Linked DNA regions of Macaca fascicularis. The protein of the gene in region 4 purifies or fractionates together with the protein of the main gene of each other region. This does not show direct contact. Links are inferred from orthologs where the notes say so. Each region holds a gene or a part of one and is shown on either strand. Other genes may lie near its edges.

Region 1 (4,197 bases), on a different chromosome or scaffold from region 4:
TGGTCTCCATCTCCTGACCTCGTGATCCGCCCACCTCGGCCTCCCAAAGTGCTGGGATTACAGGCATGAGTCACCACGCCCAGCCAGCTTTCACCTTTCTTTGCAACCCATCGTGGCACAGGATTACAGGTTCCTGGGGCAACCATATAAAAATATCAACATTTATATAATGCCATGATGGCTACTGTTTCATGCTTGCAATGACATTATGGTTGACAGACCTGGTATTATCACATACTTTAATTTAATCATTCACCAGCCATAAATGGAAAATACAGTACAAGTACCACATTAAGCCCAAATAACAATAGCTAATGTTTATCAAATATGCTGGGCACTTTACATATATTAAGTTCAAATAAATCCTCAGAACAGACATGCATGATACGTACTATTACTATCCCCATTTCACAGATGAGGGAACTACACCACCAAGGGGTTCAAAATGAACTACGAATAATTCTTCCTCACAGGACCCGTTACCAAAAAGTCATCTCATCATTTCAGAGGTATTGACCATCATTTCAGAGGTAAAGTAGCACCTCTTTGCTCAGTAGCGCACAGCTTGGAAGTAGCAGAGTCAAGATTTTAGCCCAGGTAGTCTGATTGCAGGCTTTTAACCACAACTGCAAAACAGCACTGAAAGGGCCTTCAGTATAATCTAGCCTAGTCCCCTCATTTTAACAAGGAGAGAATGAGGGACAGAGAAGCCCTTTTTTAAAGATTCCAACTCTCAGGTTGGGCGCGGTGGCTCACGCCTGTAATCCCAGTACTTTAGGAGGCCAAGACAGGCAATCACCTGAGGTCAGGAGTTTGAGACCAGTCTGACCAGCGTGGAGAAACCCCGTCTCTACTAAAAATACAAAATTAGCCGGGCGTGGTGGCACATGCCTGTAATCCCAGCTACTTGGGAGGCTGAGGCAGGAGAATTGCTTGAACCAGGGAGGCAGAGGTTGCAGCGAGCCGAGATGGCGCCATTGCACTCCCGCCTGGGCAACAACAGCAAAACTCCACCTCAAAAAAAAAAAAAAAAAAAAAAGATTCCAACTCTTTTCTGAGATCCTCACTTTGGATGGTATCTCTTTAAATAAAGCTTTACCTGAGATCTTGTTTCCTTGCCTTTTAGCTTCCAGTCAGTTAAAAGTAACAAAAGAAAAAAGAATACCCCTGTGGCCTTATAATAGCAACTGTTGCAAAATCAGAGGCAACAGTGAATGGGGGATAAAATACAGGATTTACCTAGAAACACCTCCACTTCCATCACTCAATAGATACAAAATTCTTAGGCAATGGCTGGGTGTGGTGGCTCATGCATATAATCCCAGCACTTTGGGAGGCTGAGGCAAGCGTATCACTTGAGGCCAGGAGTTCGAGACCAGCCTGGCCAACATGGCAAAACCTTGTCTCTACTAAAACTACAAAAATTAGTGGGCAAGGTGGTGAACATCTGTAGTCCCAGCTACTCGGGAGGCCGAGGCAGAATAATCGTTTGAACCCAGGAGGAGGTTGCAGTGAGCTGAGATCGTGCCACTGCACTCCAGCCTGGGCAACAGACTGAGACTCTATCTCAAAAAAAAAAAAAGAAAAGAAAAAAAGATTCTTAACCAGGTCCTTACCTTCGCTTTTCTGAAGCTCAGTTTCCTTATTGGCAAAATGAGGATGGTATCACCAGGTACCTGGCAAAGTCTACGTAAGGATTAAATGAAACAATATGCCTGGTAAAGTGCTTCTTAATCATATGCTTGTAGTTATTACTGCTGTAAGCACTTCCCAAAGGACACAAAGATGCCTTTTTTCTTCTGGAAGGATCAACGAAGCCCAAGTAGAAAATGAGACCATGACCCCAGCTATCTACAAAGGATTGACCTCAAAGAGTTTGGACTACTTGTAGAAGTCCACTACCTCCCTTGCTCTGAGCAGAATGGAGAAGTAAAACTGGGGTTGGGAGTTGGCATTGCAGTAGGACTACCCATATGGGCTGGCACTCTACACACCTACACCTTACCTGTCCCAAAGTCATCTCCTCCTGGGAGTCTTGCCCTCCTCCCCTAGACGCCTCATAATAGCTAGTTGAGCACTTACTATGTGCCAAGCTACTTGACATACCCAGTCTCGTTGATTTCCACAGTAGTCTATTATACCGTTTCACAGATAAGAAAAACTAGACTCAAAGAAATTAACTTGCCCAGGGCCACACAATTACTAAGTGGAAATGCCACGTCTCTAACTCACTCAGACTTCAAACTGCCCTCTTGGTCTCCCATGCTAGGGTGCCCTAAAAATTCTCCCTCTCCCCATTTGGGGCACTTTCACACACACGTCTCATCACCTTAACCACTCAGAGCAGCAAGTGTTAGCACCCCTTTGAATAAACAGGTCAATTAAGGCCAGCGAGGGGAAAAGACTTGCCCAAGGTCACACAGCAAACCCGGGACAGCGCAGTGGTTCGGACCCCAGGCTCTCGCTTCCCCGCCCTCGTCCCAAACTGGGGCCCTGACCACCGCTCCAGGGCCCCCAGGTGGGTTGCGACCCAGGGTGGCCGTGTCTGGGGGTCGGGCCGCGACCTCGCCCGGGGAAGGAGGGGCAAGGCCGTCCGGACGACCAGAGGATGCCCGAGAGGCAGGGCAGAGGATGCTCCGGCTCGCGGGACAGCAAAGCCAGGCGGAGGCGCGGGCGCGGGTCGCAGGGAAAATCCCAGGCGGCCACAGGATAAGCCCTGCTCGGCGGGCGCCCGGCCCCTCCGACTCACCTGCGGCCCGAGCCGAAAGCGGGCGGCGGCGGCGGCGGCGGCGGCGGCGGCGGCGGGGGCGGCGAACCCCTGGCTCAGCCATTCCCCGCTGCCCCGGATGGGGAGAGACAGTGGCCGCTCACTTCCTTAGCAACCTGGCTCAGCGACCCACTTCCTTAGCAACCAGTGTCAATTTCAATAACTTTATTGGCACACGAGCAACGGACAGGGAAAGCCAGCTGGCGGGGTCCGGGCGGGGCTCAGCTCGGTGCTGGAGCTTAGCGGGGCCCAACACACCTTCATCTCCTCACCCACCTAAGCGGGTAGAGTGGCGCACAACGTGGCCTAACTCCATCCTCTGGTATCTCGTGCCTCAGTTTCCCATCTGTAAAATGGAACATACGCTATTTCAGCCGCCATTCAACCTTTCCTAAAAGCTTTCACATCCATTATCTGACTGGTGTCTCAAAGTCCTACCGAGATAACTCCCACTTAGGGTGCCCCCAGTGACTCAATACAAACACCTACAGGCATCCTTGTTGTATCTTTCTTGTACTTCACCCAATCTAATCACTCACAACCGCACCAGGCAAGGCCAGACCACGCTCATCTCTAGCCTGCCTGAAATATCTGGTCTCTCTCTCTGTTTCCATTCTTTCGTCCAGCTCTGCCCGGACAATTCATTTTCCATAAGGTGGCCAGAGTAATTATTTAAAACAAATCATGCGGCCAGGTGCAGTGACTCACGCCTGTAATCCCAGCACTTTGGGAGGCCGAGGCAGGTGAATCACCTTAGGTCAAGAGTTCGAGACCAGCCTGGTCAACATGGCGAAACCTCCTCTCTAATAAAAATTTAAAAAAAATTAGCCAGGTGTGGTGGCATATGCCTGTAGTCCCAGCTACTCAGGAGGCTGAGGCAGGAGAATCGCTTGAACCCGGGAGGCGGAGGTTGCAGTGAGAGAGATGGCGCCACTGCACTCCAGCCTGGGCAACAAGAGCAGAACTCTGCCTCAAATATAAAACATTAAAATAAATAAATAAATAAATAAATACAACAGATCATGCCACTTCCTGGTTAATACTCGATTTAATAGAGCCTCATTGCTCTTAGAATCAAATGTGAAGTCCTTATTACTTCCTGCAAAAATTGTTAAAACTCTATTCCAGCCACACTGGCCTAGAAGGGCAGGTTCCATCCCCCATGGAATTTACACCTGCTGTTCCCCACTAAATAGAAACTGCATAAGAGCAGTCTTTTATTTGTTCACTCTTGTATCCACCAAGCCTGGAACCAAGCTTAGTCAATAGTAGGTACTCAATAAATATGTGTTGCTCCTTGAATAAATGAATAGCTGAGATGCTCTTCTTCACCTGCCCACCCCTACTTTTTTGCCTGTTGTGGCAGATATTGCTACTTCCTCTCAAAAACGTTATTTCTTCTTGCTGCTGGACACAGAGCTAGACAGTAT
Region 2 (4,064 bases), on a different chromosome or scaffold from region 4:
AAACATAAAAGGGAGAGAAAATCTAGTTTACATTTGTGGCAAAGGCTGTACAAGCAGAAACTGAACCAATATATTCTAGATTGTCTTTCTGCACAAAAGTCTCTGACCCAGCGTTTCCTGCCTATAGAAAAACACATGTGACTATGGTTAACAACTTTAACTCAAGAATATAGTAGGACCTCTGTTTCCCCCTGAGACTTTAGTTTTATCCCCTATCATGCATCTGTAAAATGGTTTTTATTATGTAATATATCCATATATGCCTTCTCTACAGAAGACAACAATAAGATAAAGACAGAAATGAAAGTCTAATGGCAAAGAAAAATGCCTTATATTACCTAACCTTATGAGCATTTGTGCATGTAAAGTTTCCATTTCTGAATGTTTTTTTCTTATTTTTGAGACAGAGTCTCACTCTGTCACCCAGGCTGGAGTGCAGTGGCATGATCTCGGCTCACTGCAACCTCTGCCTCCCAGGCTCAAGCGATTCTGCTGCCTCAGCCTTCCCAGTAGCTGGGATTACAGGCGTCCATCACCATGCCCAGCTAATTTTTGTATTTTTAGTTAGTAGAGATGAGGTTTCATTTTGTTGGCCAGGCTGGTCTCAAACTCCTGACCTCAAGTGATCCACCCATCTCGGCCTCCCAAAATGCTGAGATTACAGGCGTGACCCACCGCACCCAGCTATTTCTGAAATTTTATGATTAAGAAAATATAATGAAACACAATCCTATTATTGAAGTGAAAAGGACAGTTTAGTTGAACAGATACTTGTTAAATTCCTACTGTTTCAGATTCTCTTCTAAGCATTAAAGAGAAACAAATATAAGCCATTGTCATTGACTTTGACATTGTCACTGACAAGTAACAGATTATATCAGTACAATACACTTCTATCTATCTCTGCCTTCATCACACTAGTCTAAATTACCATCATCTTGGCCCTGGATTACTGCCTCCTAACTATATTCCTGAATCTAATTAGATTGCCCTACTGCCTATTCTCCAAATAGCAGTCAGTGTCAACACAAATCTAATCATGTCACTCTCCTACTTAAAAATTCTTCAGTGGTTTCCCATAGATCTCAGGACAAAAACCAGAATCCTTAAGGTGGACTGTAAGGTCTGGCTTCCACCCATGTCTGCTTCTCTGGGCTTATTTCACAAGATATTCTGCCTGACTCATCCATGCCACAGCCACACTGAGCTTCTTGGCCTTTTCTTGTCACCAGGCTCCTCACCACTGGCCTTTCCAGGTGCTGTTTCTTCTACCTAGAACCATCTTCAGTGGCCTCTTCATTTAGCTAACATCTACTTATCCTTCAGAACTCAACAGCCACTTCACCTGGGAAGACTTCCTGACTAGGTCAAATACTCTTATAGGCTCAGAAAGCACCTGCTCTCCCCTTCCTGGACACGAATTTTACTTTTGCTTGTTCCTTATTTGATTAACGTCTTTCTGTCTACACTGGAGGTTGCAAACAGGTAGTCAAGAGGCTGAATTCAGCCCACAAATTTCTTTTGTTTGGTTCATAGTATTTAAAGAGCTTCTGAATTAGTTGCTAAAATTAAGAAATTTCACAAAAATGATTTCTAAAGTCTCTTCTTGGGAGGAAAAAAAAATGACCTGTTATCATCTGCAGACCATCAATCTTACATGGCAATACTTTCCAATTCACCAGAATCTACTTCTCTCTATTGTAGGACACCCACTCACTTCATTCATTAAGGTTTTGTGTCTTATTTCTGCAAATACGTATGATTTTCACCTCTGCCCAAGAAGGCAAGCCTCTCTCTTTCCAGGTTCAAGAACCTGACTGGTTTTGCTCAATGTTGTATCTTCAAGGCCTAGCACGTGGTTGGCGCCCAATATTTATTGAATTAAAAACTTGAAAGCAGTGAACAGGTACAAATATAGAGCGTTTAATCTTAAATGTCAAGCACTGTCCTTCTAGTCTCCTGTGCATTATTTCACGCGGATAACAACCCCATGAGGTAAAGTTTACTTGGGCACTAAGGACCCAGACAGATTAAATAATTATGCCAGGCTTCACAACCACTAAATAAGCGGCCATGGCTCAATTTTCCTCCATGACCCCTAACAAGGGGTCTTACAAGGCCCCATTATTAAGTTCACGATAACAATCTGTGAAATCCTGGAAGATAAACATAACACCGCCACACACACAAAGACACCTACAGGTTTCATTCTGCATCATAAGCTAAAGCGCCACAAGAGAAATGACAGCTCCAGGCTAGGAGAGTCGGAGTCTGGGGCTCGGAATAGGGGCAGGCAGCCTTCGCTCCGCTGCCTCCCTGAGCTTGCTCCGAGGCGCAAAGGCCTAACGAGGTGTGGAGCATCCAAAGAGACCCTCCGTGGCCACCCCCAGACGCCCCGCTCAGCAGGCAGGGCTGCGAGCCAGAGAGCAACCTCCAGCCCAGCGCCTTTTTGATAAGCGGCGCAGGCCCCACGGGACGCAGCAGCGACGAGGGCGGCAGGGCCTGCCCCCAGGCCCCTCTCGAGGCCGGCCGGACGTCCGCGGCCCCGGGGCTGACTAGCCAGGCTCTCCAACCACCTCCGCCGCACGACCGAGCCTGCCCCGCCCCACCCAGGCAGTCAGCCTGCTCCGCGCCTCCATGGCAACGGCCGCGCCCCCGGGCCAGGCCGCGAGGATGAGAAGAAACCCCAGAGGCGAAGCGACTCTCCTCACCGGCATCTTGGCTCCCTCCCGTGCCCGGCGGACGTCCCCGCCCGGGGTCCAGCGAAACGACACCGGGTGCGCAGAAAGGCTGGCCAGAGACTATCGAAGCACCTCGTTAGAGCTCTCGAGACTGCGGCTTCCCGGGCGAGAGCGCCCAGTGCGCAGCCGCATTCCGAGCTCGCCCCGCCCCAAGCCCAGTCTCAGACTCTCATGGCCCTTGAATTACGCCTGCGCGGAGGCTTTCCGAGTCCATCTCCTAGGACTCCAGACAGAGGCCGCGCGTGCGCAATGCTGCCATTCTGCTGCGCTAGAAATGTGGCCCGCACTGAGGCGGAGATAACCTGGCAGCCCCGGGTTGGGAGGAGTAGCAGCTCTTAGGCCCGTCTGCTGGTCCTTGCAATACCCGGAATGTTAAAATCAGTAATAGCAATTGCACATTTTCTCTCATCCGAAGAGTTAAAGACCTCACCTACCTGACCTCGCTTGATTGCTAACTTCCTCATGACCGGTCTTACCATTAGAAAGTGAGCTCTTAAGGAGGTGGTTTAGTATTTTCACACGTATCTCCAGAGCCTACACAGAGCCTGGCACAGAGTGGGATTTTTATACGTGTTGGTCAAAGAACCAATGATCCGTCCATCCTCTTTCCAGTCCACTTGAATGTGTAATGGGTATTTCAAGTTATTCATGTCCAGAATTGAAATCTTGATCCCCCATCAGTCGCCCCACTACCCCACTCCACCCCCATTAAAAAATTAAAAAGGGCTCCCTCTCATTCTTCCCAGACTTCCTTCGTCTCAATATGTGGGAGCTTAATTCCGACAACTGCTCAGGTCAAAACTGCAAGCTCTTTCATGTGTATGAATAGTGTATCTTTAAATACAGCCTGTTGTATCTGTCTTCGTAGTGGAACCATTTGGCCACTTCTCCCACCACCATCGTCTCTCACATGCATTACTACAGTCGCTTAGAACTGGTTTCCTTGATTGTGTCCTTGTCCCCTTTCAGTGTGCTGGACAAGAGCCAGAGTGCTGGTGCTAAAACATGAATCAGATCTTCTCTTTTCTCTGCTCAAAACCCTCCATTGATTTCCCATCTTACAAAGCTAAAGCCACAAGCCCTACAATCCTCCCTCTTGCTTCTTCTGCACCAGCCCCACCTGGCCTCCTTGTATCATCCAACATTCCCGTCGTGCTTCCATCTTAGCATGCAAGGGCTGTGAGCTTGCAGTAGGAACTGAGGAAAATAATGATAAGGCATTTTACATAGTGCCAGTGTACTGTTCTACATGCTTTCTTTTTTAAATTCATTTAATCCACACAATAACCTTTTGAAATAGATACTATTTATTATTATTTTACA
Region 3 (3,562 bases), on a different chromosome or scaffold from region 4:
ACTAAAAATACAAAAAAAAAAAAATTAGCCGGGCGAGGTGGCGGGCGCCTTTAGTCCCAAGCTACTCGGGAGGCTGAGGCAGGAGAATGGAGTGAACCCAGGAGGCGGAGCTTGCAGTGAGCCGAGATGGCACCACTGCACTCCAGCCTGGGTGACAGAGCGAGACTTCGTCTCAAAAAACTAAGTTAATTAATTAATTTATTTATTTATTTAAAAAAAAAGAAGCAGAGGCAATGTGGAGGTGGGAAAATCAAGAAGTTAAGCAGAAAGGATCCCTACAGAAATACTGCAGCTTGAAAAATGACTGCTTCTAATAGGTACACAAAAATAGAAAAATGAATAAACACTATTATTTGACAGCATAATAGGGTGACTATAGTCAATAACTTAATTGTATATATATGTGTATATATGTGTGTATATATGTGTGTACATACATGTGTGTATATATATGTGTGTGTATGTGTGTGTATATATATATATATTTTTTTTGAGACAGTTTTCTACTTGTTGCCCAGGCTGGAGTGCAATGGTGTGATCTCAGCTCACTGGAACCTCTACCTCCGGGGTTCAAGTGATTCTCCTGCCTCAGCCTCCCGAGTAGCTGGGATTACAGGCACACGCCACCATAGCCGGCTAATTTTTGCATTTTTAGTAGAGACAGGGTTTCACCACGTTGACCAGGCTGGTCTCAAACTCCTGACCTCAGGGGATCCCCCCGCCTTGGCCTCCCAAAGTGCTGGGATTACAGGTATGAGCCACCACCCGAGCCAATTGTATATTTTAAAATAACTTAAAGAGTGTAACTGGATTGTTTGTAACTTGAAGGATAAATGTTTGAGGCGATGGATACCCCATTCTCCATGATCTGCTTAGTTCACATTGCACGCCTGTATCCAAACATCTCATGTGGCCAGGTGCAGTGGCTCGCGCTTGTAATCCCAGCCCTTTGGGAGGCCGAGGTGGGCGGATCACCTGAGGTCAGGAGTTTGAGGTCACTCCAGGGTGGATGACACAGCAATATTCCATCTTCAAAACCAAAAAATCTAATGTATCCCACAAATATTAATATATATACCTACTATATATGCATACTATATACATACACTATATACATTTTTTAAATAATTTTTAAAACAGATTTAAAAATAATTTTTTTTTTTGAGATGGAGTCTCGCTATGTTGCCCAAGCTGGAGTGCAGTGGCTCCATCTCAGCTCACTGCAAGCTCTGCCTCCCAGGATTACATCATTCTCCTGCCTCAGCCTCCCAAGTAGCTGGGACTACAGGGGCCCGCCACCACGCCTGGCTAATTTTTTATATTTTTAGTAGAAGCGGGGTTTCTCCGTGTTAGCCAGGATGGTCTCGATCTGACCTCGTGATCCGCCCGCCTCGGCCTCCCAAAGTGCTGGGATTACAGGCATGAGCCACCTTTTTTTTTTTTTTTTTTTTTTGAGATGTTGTCTCGCTCTGTCACCCAGGCTGGAGTGCAGTGGCGTGATCTTGGCTCACTGCCACCTCCACCTCCCAGGTTCAAGCAATTCTGCCTCAGCCTCCCGAGTAGCTGGGATTACAGGCGCCTGCCACCATGCCCAGCTAATTTTTATATTTTTAATAGAGACGGGGTTTCACCATGTTGGTCAGGCTGGTCTCAAACTCCTGACCTCAGGTGATCCACCCGCCTCGGCCTCCCAAAGTGCTGGGATTATAGGCGTGAGCCACTGCACCCGGCCCTAAAAATAATTTTTAAAAAATTTAAAATCACTGCTTCTTATGCAAAGATGGTAGCCTCAGGGCCTTCAGAGTTAATTTTGGCCAGCACTTAGCGTCCGTTTTGAGGGGTTCATAAAATACAGGCAGGGAGGTAGAAGAAACTCCAGCACGTGGGCCCATCCCTCAGCCCTCAGACGCATTTTGTTCCTAAGGGACTCATGGGAGAGGAGACAGTCAGGATGCGGCCTTCGGGAAGGAGAGGCCTGAGTAATGATGGCTGGCTGTGGGACCCGGGAGCAAAAGAGCTGCGGGCCCTACTTGAGCTTGAGTTCGCGGGTCTGCTCGTTCTGCGCCTCCTCCAGGTCCTGCCGCACGCGGATGTACTCATCATGCTGGTCCTGGATCTCCGCCTTCACCGCCTGCAGCTTGGCGTAGAGCTGGATGGGGACAGGTGCCACTCAGAGGCTGCTTGGTGTAGCAACGAGGCCCCAGTCACTCAGCCTGGGCCGCAGGGCTGCAGGCTCAGAGTCTACCGACTCAGCCCACGATGAGGCTGGGGGTCCTTTTCTTTACTCCCTGCTGTGCCCAACCCACCACGAATTGGGCTGGGCTATTTAAAGGGGTGCCCTGTCCTCCTACACTGAGGCCTGTGGCCATTGCCTGCTCTTTCTCGCTGCTATCAGCATCGTGGAGTGTTCAAACGGGAGGGGACCCCAGGGACCTTTTGATCCAATACCGTCCTTTCACAGATGAGGAAGCCAGGCACAGCCTTGCTCAAGGTCACACAACCAGCAAATAGAAGAGCCGGAACTGGGACTCAGGGCCCATTTGGAGATCAAGGGCTCATTTGGAGACCCGGCTCAGGGAGCATGAAGCCTGAAAGAGTTTGGAAGGTAACTCCTCCCACTCCAGTCTCTTCAGGGGCTCTCAAAAGTGGGGTGTGGAGGCAGCATGGCCATCCTGCTGCTCTCCAAAGCCGCTGAGGGCTGGGTCCATGGTAACTGCTTCAGTGGCAGTGCCTCTGTCGGGCCTGCCCCAGGGCAGTCACATCAGCCACCCCAAAGGGTCTCCAGGTTTCTCCCAGAATCCAAGCTGGAGCTCTGCTGCTTCCTGCCCTAGACCCTCCTCACATGTACATGTCTTTCCCTTGCTACGGGCTTTGCAGGGTCCTGGTGAGCGGCTATTCTCATCCCTTGACATGTCCTTGAGGGCCTTATGCTCCCCGCCGGAGCTTCCTGGGGTTCCAGTCTCCTCCTCAGCCTCTCTGTATTCCCCTGGCCCTGCTCCAGGCCCAGCTATCCCAACTGTGACTCACTGCTGACACTGAATGGGGAAATCACCCAGGACCATAAGGATGGTAACCCTGGATACTGCAAGTGACAGAGTTTGCAGCCTGTCACAGCCCACCCTGGCCCAGGAGAAAAGGCTCTACTCCACCCCCAGCCCCCGCCTCCTGCCTCCCCCTGCTATTCACTCCCGAGGCCCAAGCCATGTCACTCAAGGGTTCAACAGTTCCAGCCAAATGGGGAGGAGTCCCTGAAGCAGACACCCTTGGGCAGAGACTGCTGGGCCTCCAGCACACCTTGACTGGTCCTACTGCAGTGTCTCACCTTCTTGAGTTTCTTGGTTTTGACCTCCACCTCCTGCTGCAGGGACGTGTAGGTGCCCCGGAGCTCCATGGTCTCCTCATCCCGGAGCATCATCTCCTGCTGCATCTCCCGTTCACGACGTTTCTAGGCCAAGGACAGACAGTGTGGCTCAAAGGAGCAGAGCATACCCAGGAGGGCCAAGAACGCTCAGGGGACTGGCTCACTCTCCCTGTGTCGGGACCTGGCTTCACCATGGCCCAT
Region 4 (4,224 bases):
ATGCTACAACATAGATGGACCTTGATATACTATGTGAGAAAAGCTTGACACAAAAGCCCACATACTTTTTTTCATATAGCATGTATAAATACAATAAATATCAGTATGTTTTAAAGTCTGTATTACTTGCTAGAGTGTAAATGCCATGAAGGCAGGGAATATACTTGTTTAATTTGCCAAATATGTTTTATCACTTGGCTCAATGACTTTTACATAGTAGAATCTCAACTATTGAATGAATGAACAAATGTTGTTCACTTTTAATATACTTCAGTAGTTCCCCAATGCACTCATAATAAACTCTCAACTCTTTACTAAAGCTCATAAGCCCCATATGATTTGGCCCACATTTCTTTCTAGTCTTACTCTGACTTTACTTAATAATCTATGTTTCAGGCACCTTGCTGAGTGCTGGGGACACAATGGGAAGTAAGATAGACATAGCACCTTACCTTTATGAAGTTTATAAACCGGAAGGAAATATAAAGTAGTAAGATTAGAGAAAAACAAGGTATTAAGTATCATGAGACCCTAACAGGTATACCTGACCTGGATTGTGAGGGGGGAAAGGGAAGTTCAGGAAAGCCTTCTGGAAAAAGTAGTATTTATATCAAAACACGAAAGATGAGGAATTAGCTGGGCAAAGAACAGGACAAGTTCCAGAAAAAGGGAAGGGCATGTAAGAATCAAACACCAAAACACATAGGGATCCAAAAAAAATTATTTTTGTAAGACCAGAATATGGAATTATTCAGGTAGGAAGGGATGGAAAATATACTGCTATCTGCTGTCTTGTGAAAAACAAAATATAAAAGTAAAAATATTGTTAAAGAATATATGTAATCATGGTCAAAAAACAATAATTAAAATGGAAGGTTCTATTGGACATCATAAATATTTTCCATCAGGCCTGTATGAATACATGTCTCCTATATATTTCTAGTCTGAAAGCAGACGATTCAAACTTTTTCTTATTTATAGTAAAAATTAGATGAAATTGAGAAAAGCATTTTTCAACCATTCCAGATTCTAATCTCATTTTACTTCAAACATTTCATTGACTGGTTCAGTTTTAATTTTGGAACTCTAGATAGTATGTGTTTAAAAGCAAACAATGCGTTGAGAATTATAAGTCACAGTATGCCTGAGTGTCCATACTAGTACCATAATGTTAAGAATAACTACCTCTGACACAAATATATTACATGAAAATCAGCTAATGGTATAACAGCGGCTCTTTGTTCCAGAACAATTTTGAATTTAAAGTTAAAAGACAATTTATTTTCTTGTGTCACAAAATTTTTAACAAAGGTATTTTAAAAACCAACGTTAAGTAAAATTCAGTGAGGAAATAAACACTGATGTAAGCTTATATATTCATTTAAAAATTTTTACTTATAAAGTCCGGCTATTTGCCAGTTTCAGATATATTTATATAAAATGATAAAGACAGGCAATACATGCCTGTCTTGCAAGGACAATATAGTTGATTATTTATTAAAAAATTGTTTGAATCCCTTTTATGAGTCTACTAACACTTGGAAGATCTTTCTGTGATGATGAGAGCTCAGCCAAGCCAGAATAAAAATATTCAGTACAAGTGAATTATGACTTCAAATAATACCACCACCTTACATTCATGTTTCATTTTTTAAAAGTATTTTCATCTTTCGTCCTCGTATCTCTCAGAAGTTAATACCTGTCCCATTTTCAGATGAGGAAACTGTGCCCAAAGGAAGGAATACATGTGACTTTTCCAGGGTATTTACTGAATCAGTACTGAATTAAAATTTTTTTCTATTGGATCACTGCTTACTCTTGGTCCAGTGGGAGGTATCTTTTTTTTTTCAATCAGGAATGATCTGAGTATTTGCCAGCAGCCAAATAATCCCAACAGACTACAATTTTTTGAGTAATTGATACTATAAATATTTAAAAGAAATGATGGTCTATTTTATTGTCATCAAGCTTCTGAACAAACCTCTTGATAATTACGAAATGTCCTACAAAAATTATGTTGAATATATGGCAGTCAAATGGATGACATGGATGAGGAAAGCAGAAAGAGACTAGAAATCAACATCTCAATCCAGCCTTCCAAAAGGTAGAATCCACGACTTCCTTCTCCTTCATCATTTCAAAACCCCATGGCAGTGAACCCCAAACTGAGGCCCGAGGGCGGATGCACCAGATTTCATTCCCAGGCTCTCATGGGCTTTATCTATTATGGGAAAATGGAGAGTCTGGGAAGAGGGGGAAAAAAAACAAAGACAGACGCGGTTTACCTTGCCCTACACCTCCCTCTCCTCCTGGAATAAGGTGATGCAGCGAAGAAGCCATCTTTCAATGCTGTCAGGGCTCCGCCAAGTCAGATCAGAGGACCTTGAAACCCCCCAGAACTCTCTCCTTTTTTTCCCCGCTTCACCTTTTCCCTCTCCTTTCGGTGACTTCTCTCCCTGCTTCCCATCCCCTCTTCTAAACTAGCGTTGCCCAGTGACATCTCACAGCCAACCCAAGACCATCTTCAGGGCCCTGGCAAGGAGGGTAGGACAGAGCTTTGGGGAGTCGTCACCTTTTGAGGTATCTGGCGTCCTCCCCTTGCATGGCGGCAGCGGTAGCGGCGTGGGGAGGATGGGGTGTCTGAGAGGCAGGCGCGGCTATTTCCGGGGACGGTGACCAAAGTACCCTCACACCCAGAGGTGATGACAGTCCTGAGGCCTGCAAGGCGGGGCAGCAGCGGCGCTTTGGTTACCACGGTGAAGCCTCCAGCTCCTCCCACAGCTTCTGGGCCCCAAAACACTGGAGCGGCCCAGACCCGCCCAGAGTCGCCTATGCCGGGCCGTCAGGACGCATGCGCTTGCTCTGCACCATTTATATGCGCAGGCTCAGTCTGAGGCGCTGGCCTCCGAGTTTGACGCACCGGGGAGCGGAGCAGGGAAGTTTTGGTGCACATTTGAGCGTCCGTGAATAAGGAGTGGCTCCGTAGTCACCGCCCCCTTGAGGATGGGAATAGAAAGGGCTGTCAGGTCAGCTTGAAAGGACGGAGGGGAATCCGAGAACCTGTTATCCAATGCTACAGAGCAGTCCAGTCCTAGCTAATAAGGGAGGTTTCTATTTGGCGGCCTGGATTGCACTGACGGCACTTACAAGCTCTAATTTGTGGAGATAATCTGACCCGTGTACAAAATGGATATAATTAATATCTACCTTGAAGGTGGCAAGTCTGTCACTTTGATGTCTTAGATCTAGAATACACCTCTCCCCAACCAAAACAAACAAACAACAACAACAACAAACAGTTCCTGAAATTCCAACTCCACCAATTATCCCTAACTCAAGGTATGTTTAGAATTGCTTCTTCTGAGGCAGGCAATTGTGAGCAGTGCAGGGCATAGGAAAGAAGGATTCTTTTATAACTGAATGTTCTCTGGTTTAAGATCTATTCCCATGAGTTCAGCTATTACGTCTATGCAAATGATTTAGGTTCATTTATTTGATAAATGTGAATTGAGGGCTGGCTGTGTGCCAAACACCAAACCAAGTTCTAGGGATGCAAAGAAAGCATCTCCACTCCCCCTCCTCACCTATAATCTTGTCACTTATTCACTGTCTTCTAGTCCTGTTTTCTCAATTGCCTCGAGACGTGCATGTAGTTGCTCTGCTGCTTTTTTCAAATGCAGTACGTTGATGCAATTATTGATTATCCGTTATGTGTAAAACACCATGTTAAGGCACTGCATGGTATATTAAATATAGAAATACAGTCCTTACCCAACAAAATATATTTTTATCTTCCCACCCATTCACACCAGCTACAACACTATTTCTGTAGATGTTATAGTCATTCTTTATTCTGCCAGGGAAGAAAATTTGAAGCTAATTTTAATTCCTTCCTCTGTATCATGCCCTCTTACTAAAGTGTTACAAAATTCTATCTTTTCTTCCTTCAAGATATTCAGGTAGTCCAGTTTTTTTCTCCATTCTTACTTCTACCAATAGTCTAACCACTTTATACCTAGAGTACTGCAAGTCCTTCCTCACTGGACTTCCTATTGTTTGTTTTTCTAAATATTAATTCTGCAAAATGATGTAAAATTTTACAAATTATCATTTATGACAACTTTAACGGTAATATAGCAGGCTAGATTACTTTAAAACCTTCACAATACCTAAAATTGAAAGACAAAAATATACATTAAAATGCATAGATAATATAAGAAGGAT

The links.
Region 1: the proteins of KIFAP3 (region 4) and KIF3B purify together in Homo sapiens (co-immunoprecipitation; 7 studies listed by BioGRID and IntAct, counting the BioPlex papers as one, with this or other methods). This does not show direct contact. The link is inferred for Macaca fascicularis from reciprocal best matches to the Homo sapiens genes KIFAP3 and KIF3B.
Region 2: the proteins of KIFAP3 (region 4) and KIF3A purify together in Homo sapiens (co-immunoprecipitation; 9 studies listed by BioGRID and IntAct, counting the BioPlex papers as one, with this or other methods). This does not show direct contact. The link is inferred for Macaca fascicularis from reciprocal best matches to the Homo sapiens genes KIFAP3 and KIF3A.
Region 3: the proteins of KIFAP3 (region 4) and KIF3C purify together in Homo sapiens (co-immunoprecipitation; 3 studies listed by BioGRID and IntAct, counting the BioPlex papers as one, with this or other methods). This does not show direct contact. The link is inferred for Macaca fascicularis from reciprocal best matches to the Homo sapiens genes KIFAP3 and KIF3C.

Annotation. Positions count from the first base shown.
Region 1 is NC_088384.1:88,358,563-88,362,759, reverse strand, and holds the start of KIF3B (kinesin-like protein KIF3B), read right to left. Parts: upstream 2,857-4,197; 5' UTR 2,750-2,856; intron 1,687-2,749; exon of another isoform or gene 1,617-1,686; intron 1-1,616. UniProt on the Homo sapiens protein: Microtubule-based molecular motor that transport intracellular cargos, such as vesicles, organelles and protein complexes. Uses ATP hydrolysis to generate force to bind and move along the microtubule. Plays a role in cilia formation.
Region 2 is NC_088380.1:139,256,495-139,260,558, forward strand, and holds the start of KIF3A (kinesin-like protein KIF3A), read right to left. Parts: upstream 2,845-4,064; 5' UTR 2,718-2,844; coding exon 2,712-2,717; intron 1-2,711. UniProt on the Homo sapiens protein: Microtubule-based anterograde translocator for membranous organelles. Plus end-directed microtubule sliding activity in vitro. Plays a role in primary cilia formation. Plays a role in centriole cohesion and subdistal appendage organization and function.
Region 3 is NC_088387.1:96,281,404-96,284,965, reverse strand, and holds part of KIF3C (kinesin-like protein KIF3C), read right to left. Parts: intron 3,446-3,562; coding exon 3,323-3,445; intron 2,150-3,322; coding exon 2,031-2,149; intron 1-2,030.
Region 4 is NC_088375.1:27,702,868-27,707,091, forward strand, and holds the start of KIFAP3 (kinesin-associated protein 3), read right to left. Parts: upstream 2,845-4,224; 5' UTR 2,605-2,844; coding exon 2,573-2,604; intron 1-2,572. UniProt on the Homo sapiens protein: Involved in tethering the chromosomes to the spindle pole and in chromosome movement. Binds to the tail domain of the KIF3A/KIF3B heterodimer to form a heterotrimeric KIF3 complex and may regulate the membrane binding of this complex.